Linked DNA regions of Drosophila melanogaster. The protein of the gene in region 1 interacts with the protein of each later gene in a pairwise test. Each region holds a gene or a part of one and is shown on either strand. Other genes may lie near its edges. The genes, in order: CG34165 and CG6479.

Region 1 (3,415 bases):
TGTCATCAACGACGTCAAAAGCGCTGCCCGCTGAGCCAACAATTAACAATTAAAACCCCAAAGCGCACAACTCAATTTTGCAATACACACAGAGTGCGAGTGAGGCAAACACTGCAATGGCAATCTCATAGATACGTATATAGTATATATATCTATATATATATATATCTTTGTATATATATTCAGCAGATAGCAAAGGATAGATAAGGGTAACCCACAACAACAATATTCCGGCACCAATGGGCACTATTGCCACGGCTAAGTTCCCTGTGTGCTCCGTAGTCGCACTTACAACTAAAAACTTGTTACGTATTTAATTGCAATTAAAAAGTTGTTTTGTAGTTACGAGTGTTGGTGCTCTTGGCTTTCTTGGTGGATGGCGCTGGCTGTATAGCTGACTGGCGTTGTTTTGTCAGACAGGCAACTACAGGATGGCTTCGAAATTGTCTCCAATAACAAAACCAGAACCAAAACCCCAAAGACTCTGAAGCCGGGATGAAGTCATTACAAGGCGAAATGAAAATGCGTGGAAAAGAAGCCAAAAGGGTTTTCCGCTTAATGACTTTGATGGTGTTTCGGTGCTTTCGGATAAAGGAACCAAAAATGCCACCGACCCTTCCACACCCACTTGCTCTCCTCTGATTTCAACGATAGCACTCATTAGAGTTTTGCGATTTTTGGCTTAAAACTTTGGCCATAACAATTGGCCATGGCCATCATCGCGATTTTGACACAAAACACGAAGTCATTGCTGAATTCACATCCAAATAGCAGGCAAATTGTCTGCTCCTTGGCCTCGTAAACAAATTGTTTGTATTTGATTTCGTGTAATTTTATATGACAAAGCGTTATTGCTTTATTAAACTAAAATTAGCTTGGTTTTGCATGAACTAGTATTAAATATTTAAACTAGGATTATAGAAAAGCATTATTATGTCTTGGTTTATAATTGTGTGTTTTTAAAAATATTTATTTATCGTGTGTTTATCTCTACGATCATGGCTTTAGTTAATGGCTTGCTTTTGAGTTCTATAGATAGTGGTCAGTCTATGTCTAGTTTCCCTCACTAAGGAGCTTTAGCCGAAGAAGTTAAATAGGTTCTCCTGCTGCTGTTGCTGCTGACCTCCACCGCCTTGCTGCTGCTGCTGTTGCTCCTGGAAGAACTCCACTCCGCCGCCGAAAGGACCTCTGAAGATGACACCCTCCTCCTGCTGTTGCTGCTGCTGACCACCGCCAAAGCCGCTTTGCTGCTGCTGCTGTTGTTGTTGCAGACCACCTTCAAATCGTTCAATACCCCTAATAATTTGACCAAACGGACCGAACTGGGCCGATGCAAAGGCGAGGAGCGCAACAAAAACGATTATCTAAAAAAATAATACATACAGTACAATACATTTAGTTTCAACTAAAAAATAACGTAGATGTCTATATTAGCCAATTTTTAGCGAAAAATACCGTGAATTTCATGTTGAATATTGAAAATATTCCTCAAGCGAACAATCTTATTTCACCGGAATGCTAAAATCAACTGTTTGAGTTTCGGCTGCTGGCTATGAGTATTTATCTGAATTTTTGTTAGGCTTTATGCCCATTCAAAACTGGTTGAGCACGGTGCGATCGCCGCTCGGACTTCCCTGTTCAAATCATTGTGAACGTTTGTGTTTATAGGGGATTTTTTCTGTTGTTGAAAACGTTCAAGTATCTGGGGTTGACGGGCCCACTAAAAATACAGGTTTGCAATCAGCTCTTCTTGGCGTATGCTCTTCGCTAATCAAATTAGGTTTTTTGTTAAATTATTGCTGTCAGAACATTTGGTTATTTCACAATTTTGCATGAGTCAGTATCTGCCTTTGGTTTTTATGCCAACATCATTTGCGAATTATTCAAGTGTTTGCAATTAATGTTGTTATAGCACAAAAATGTCATTAACCCATTAAGTGATTTTCGATTAGCTAAATAAAAACAATTTTTTATGTTGAAACACAAATTTTTAATTTAATTTAATAATTCATTTTTCTTGATGTTGCTTATGTCCAAAAAAATAAACCCAAACGTATTTATAAGCAAGCGAAATAAATGAAGGTTACTCATTAATAAAATCTCTGTCGATCTAAAGGCCTACAATAAGCCATTGTCAAAACATGTAAATGAGTATTTAAAAACAAAAACTGTTTTGTGTTTGTTATACTAATACGTTCAAATAATTTATTTTAATTTTTAGTCGAGGAACTAAAGTAACAGCCTTAGAAGAAGCCTCCTTGTTGCTGCTGCTGCTGCTGCTCGATTCCTCCAAATCCGCCGAATCCACCGAAGCTTTCCTGCTGCTGTTGCTGTTCTCCGAAGCCTCCGAAACCGCCGAATCCTTCTTGCTGCTGCTGTTGGCCACCGAATCCTCCGAATCCACCGAATCCTCCATATCCGAATTGAGGAAGCGCGGAAGCAACGGCGATAAGGGCCACAAAAACGATCACCTGAATGGCCGTTTATTATTTTTATAAAGTCCTTAATCCCTGCGAGGTGTAGCTCTGGTGGCCAAACTTACCAAGAATTTCATATTGAATTTGAAAATGAATTCAATTTGTACTAATATCCCAGAAGATGAGGATGCTTCGATGTTGCACTCGATACTGTGCCCTTTCTGTCACGTCTTTCTCTATTTATACGATTTTTTTGAATTCATATAATGTTTGAATTTCGGAGGTTCTTTACCCGCACTGAAATAAAAACTTGTCCCAGACACTGGACCAGACGTGGGGGCTTTCCTCACAGGTGACCAGCGTTTCTCTTCCAATCCGGTTTTGAATTTGTTGTGGTTATTGACCGGTTTCCATTTTTTTTTAGGGGAACAGGCGCCAGGTGCGTGGCTTTTGATATGAATTTTAATAGTTTGCCAATTTATATTTAAATAGTATTTTTACTGAATTTATGACTAAGCTATTCAGTTTCTAGAGGCACGTTTCCAAGAATCAATATATTGAACCCAAACTAGACGTTGTTGATGCTACTTGACGTTGTTGATGATGCCTTTGTTTCTGGGGTTCTCAAAACAAATTTGCTTCCTTACTCTAATGTTTACCATAGAATCACATTAATGTGTTACGTGTATATATAATTATTGAATCTTACTGAGCTGGACATTTGAACAAATCACCCCTTCCAATTGCCACATTTATATCCGGGCAAAAGTAAATGCAAATGAGCGTAAAAAAAACATATTTTTTTCAATTCGGTTACATTTCGTTGAGATAAACAAATTCCATTGACATAATCAAAAGAAACTTTGTTGTTTTCTTATTTCGTTGGCGTTCACTTCAAGAGCGGTCCAAACGAAGCGAACCAAGCTCACTCAATAGATAAGTGTCTCGATGGGGAATCACCTGCAGCGAATGGGGAATACTGGCGACCGGAGACCGGA
Region 2 (4,518 bases), on another chromosome or scaffold:
TACACGATCGAATAAGCGTGGGTGAGTTCAAAGATTACTCAATCTATATATTCTACAAAGATAAACTCAAACTTAAAATGATTAATATTTGAAATTGATGACTGTTGTTTATTGTAGATTTCATTAAAAATATATTTAATACTATTTAAGGGCATTATGGCAGCAGTGGAAGTGCTGGCAAAAGTTACGCCTATGACAGTCAACCTTATCAGTATGACTACGGACCATCCAACGGACATGGCTATGAGCCAGGACCTGCTCCTGGGCACACCTACTCCTCCAGCGGAGAGGCAGGGGTGCCATACCACGTTTATCGACCTCGACCCGAACATGGCCACTACCCGGGGCCAGCAGTGGATTACTCCTACAGCTCCTACCCCATCGACTCCCACGAGATAGTCTCCCACAAGGGATCGCCAGAGATCTCACCAAAGGCCTTGCTGGCCAAAAGCTTCCTGATTCCGCTGGCCAGTGCCACCGTTCTGGGCATCGCCGCCGCCCTGGTCAGTAATCCTCTCCTGCTGCAACTAGCTCCTGTTCCGGGGATCGGTGTGGGAGTGGGTGTCGGACCTACAGTCGTTGGCAAACGAAGAAGGAGAAGAAGGGCAGTGAAGCGGGCTTTACGATCAGGGAATACTGATGCAAAACTGAATAGCTCTATCTAAGTACCGTCCTCTCGAAAATGTATTAAATCAGGAAACAATATATAAGATATTATTTTTAATATATCATATAGTTACAAGCGTGTTTTTTATTTAAAGTCAGTGATGGCATTTAAATAATTTTAATAATTTAAATAATTTAAATTAAGGGTCTAATGCTACGAGAGCCTAATAATTAGTTGTCTATATGGAGAGAATAAGATAACGTAATTTTAAGTGACTTGTGGAACCTTTTGTAATGGCTATATGTAAGTTTTTTTTTTACATTAGATTGCGTAATTAGTCGACTGAGGTTCAAACCGGCTCGTTGGTCTAGAGGTATGATTCTCGCTTCGGGTGCGAGAGGTCCCGGGTTCAATTCCCGGACGAGCCCCAGTCATCCCAGTGCGCTAAGGAATGTATAATTTTTAAACAAAAAAGTTATATTTTATAAATATTTATTTTAAAATATTTTTAAGTTATTGAGAATACACATTTAGTTGCATGTGTACACAATTATATACAATTTACTTAGGGAATGAAATAAATTAAAAGTTATTTTATATCATTAAAAACAAACTAAATTAAATTAAATTAAGGAATTTTTTAGCGTCCTCATAAATGTTGCAAAATTGTTGAGTCTTCGGTTTTGTACGGCTTATGTCATAATATATTGAAGATAGAGAAAAAATTTGTTTAAAAAACAGCTAATTTTATAACTACTCTAAAAAATATTATAAAACACTGCATTTAAATGATAAATTAAAAGTTGCTGATAAGTAATACGTTTAGAGTGGGTGAATAGCTTTAAACATTCGGATAAACAAAAAATCATTTTAAAAATCATAAAAATAATTTTAGTTCTATTAAAAAATATGATATCATGGATATTGATCCATACCAAAGAAAACATCGCCGATAGGTGTGTGTCTTCGCTAGGGAAAGTGTCTCCGCTAAGGTATCTTGAGCCAACAAAGTACATAACGCGTTTCATTCCAAACGGTATTTATTTTTTGACCTTGTGGTATTCTAACTTTTTGTCTGTGCTATCACTTACAAACAAGTTTTCCCGGCATTTTCGACCTATTCAGGTGATTTTCTAATAATTATCACATAGTAGGCAATGAATTTTACACGGACTAATTGGTAAGTGACAGAAACTAGTGTAGAATTCAGAAAATTAACCCATGAATGCTCCTCAGCTCGCCGCTGAGTAAAAACCCAGTGGTGCAGCGCAGCCTGGACTTGCGATTGCAGGGCGCCCAAGCGCGGCATTACCTCAAGTGGTGCTCCATAAATGTGGTGCTGCTGTCGCTACTCCTCTTCGACCTCTGGCAGGCATGTCGGTCCGCCTACAGGACCTACTGGTTCCTGGCGGAGTGCACCATTACGACCCTGATTGGCCTAAGTGCACTCGCCTGCTTCGGCAAGTATTTGTGGTTATGGTTTGGTGGTGACCAAGTTACGGGTAGCGATATCCAAAAGTGGCTGCTTGATGGCAAGGCAGGTGAGGAATCCAAAGGAACCCGTTCTAACGCATCCACTTAACCACTTTTATTCCTATAGAGAACTCTTTTCGTACAGTTTGCTCCCGAGCCGTGATGAAACCACGCAGCTACGAACCGGATAGCGATATAGAGGACGACATACCCATCATCAACTGGCACTCCTCCTTCGAGGACTCCTGCTGGGGCTCGCAATCCATGCGCCGCAGCCCCAGTCCCACAAGGACGCCGCAGCAGACGAAACAAAACACCTCTTACAACTCCTCGATGGTTCGAAACAACTCGCTGAATGCCAGCAATCTGAGCAACGAGTCTACCTATATGTCCCCGTATGCGGAGGTGCGACGCGATGACTTCATGACCGATACACGAAAGTTGACCAGTCTAATGAAGCAGGCGGATCGGGAGCGCAGCATGATGGACAGCTCGGATACACCCAATGTGCAGAGCATGGGATCGGCCAACTCCTTCTGGAACTACTGCAACAATGCGGCCTATATGCTCAAGACCACCATCTATCAACTATCGCCACCTCCGGCTGTTTCTACGGAAAATGCTCCCACCTCGATTGAGGAGTTTGGCGGTATTCAGTTTAGGGACAGCAATTCGGAGGTCATCAAGCGCATATCCACGGACAAACTGTCGCAATATGTGGCCAACCTAAGATTTGTAAGCATCCCGTTCAATATTCCACTGCAACGTACTAATGTCTTACCATTTTCTAGTGGATTTCTACGACCATACTTCAGCGTTTGGTCAAAGAGATCAATTATGTGGACGATGTTTTCCGCCAGCGAGCTCTGATTGACATTAAAATTGGATCTGTGAGTGTAGAGAGATTACGCAAAACAGCCGAGAACCAGCAGTTCGTGCAGACGTGTGCGCCCATGTTGCCCATGCTCTTACCTTTCCTGGACACCTTCAGCAACCAGGAATACCTGGTGCAGCGCATCAAGGAGCTTGCGCAGGGCTCTTGCATAGCTGACTACCGCTGGTACTCGGGCAAAACACACAACGGTCAGCAGCGGGACGAGCATTTGCCCACCGATGCAGCTGTGAGTATACGAAATTCCGCAACTGAGCACTCTTGATTAATTGTAACCTCATTCTGCAGATAATATTCCATTTATTTTGCGTGTACTTGGATAGCCAGTTGATGCCGTTGCCGCAGGGCGGCGGACGACCCTTTCACTCCCGCTACGTGTTAATTCGCGACGAGAAGAGCTCGACCAAGGACGTGGTGAACGCAGTTCACAACAAGGCCCACTGCGCCATTTTAAGTACCGGCAACCCACTTAACCCTAAATTTAACTTTATCAGCGACAAAGAACTACACAACTGCGTCTACGATAGGAATAACCTGTTCTACGTTATCATACAGTTCCTAATTTATATGCGACAGCACCAGGACTCTGCTCTGGAGTGCGTAAATCTTGGCAAAAGTGGTATCAACATCATGTGCGTCATCGAAGACTGAACAGTGGAACTAGTGGCTATGACTTTTAATCCCACCCCTAATCACTCCTTACTTCTAAGCATGATCCTTTGTGACTCGACTAGCGTTTGGTGACTGGACAATCCTCATCATTCGTTACTATGAAATTATACATTTGTAATTATTAAGCCAACTTACGACTGTTGTGGTTTCGCGGTTATCAAGTGTCGTGTGGCCTGCGGTCTGTGCAATTAACTTGTTTGGCAGTCGGCGGTAAGCTATATTCGCGGATATGTGCACACAGGTGCCCGACTTTAATTGCCCTTTCATGATTCTCACTATTGACCAGCCAGTTGGTGACCTGGCCATTGGCTCGGCCAGCGACATGCTCCCACATGCTCGCCACTTTGCACTTCCGAAAGTGACAAAATTAATGGTTTCCGCCGACGCTGTCGACATTTTGTCGAGTGAGAGACATTGAGAAAATGCTCCAAAGTAGTGCAAAATGAAGGAGTCGCAAACGGAGACCCCTAAAGCAGGCGCCAGGACGAGCAGGACCTGGGCCCTCTCGACCAGTCACATTACCATTTCTCTTGGCCATGCTCATTTCTGGGCTCTGGCTTGACGTTGAATCGGTTGGCTGGTTATTTTAATGCCGCCCATACTCCCGGATGCCCGGATGGCTGGATGGCTGGCACCTCGGGTGAGTAATGTGCCTGGGTTGTCAACTTTACACTTTTATCCCTCGCATTATATTTGCTTTACCTACACAAACACACACACTCAGCCACCCAACCGAACCGAAGCGAACCACACACCCTGTGTGTGTGTGTGTGTGTGTGTGTGTGTGTGGAGTGATATGTTTTCCTGATACTTTTTCTCAAGTTGTAAATTGGCTTAAAAATAATTTGTCAAAGCATTTCAGCCGCGGAGTCGG

The links.
Region 2: the proteins of CG34165 (region 1) and CG6479 interact in a two-hybrid assay, tested with the Drosophila melanogaster proteins (one large-scale study listed by BioGRID).

What each region holds. Positions count from the first base shown.
Region 1 is NT_033779.5:14,711,881-14,715,295, reverse strand, and holds CG34165 (uncharacterized protein), read right to left. Parts: upstream 1,547-3,415; 5' UTR 1,468-1,546; coding exon 1,456-1,467; intron 1,365-1,455; coding exon 1,077-1,364; 3' UTR 770-1,076; downstream 1-769. Other genes in the region: CG15282 (uncharacterized protein), read right to left, coding at 2,244-2,471, 2,543-2,554.
Region 2 is NT_037436.4:17,336,426-17,340,943, reverse strand, and holds CG6479 (uncharacterized protein), read left to right. Parts: upstream 1-1,681; 5' UTR 1,682-1,764; coding exon 1,765-1,787; intron 1,788-1,807; exon of another isoform or gene 1,808-1,832; coding exon of another isoform or gene 1,833-1,843; coding exon 1,844-2,148; intron 2,149-2,207; coding exon 2,208-2,815; intron 2,816-2,871; coding exon 2,872-3,201; intron 3,202-3,260; coding exon 3,261-3,623; 3' UTR 3,624-3,772; downstream 3,773-4,518. Other genes in the region: CG13727 (uncharacterized protein), read left to right, coding at 1-21, 151-665.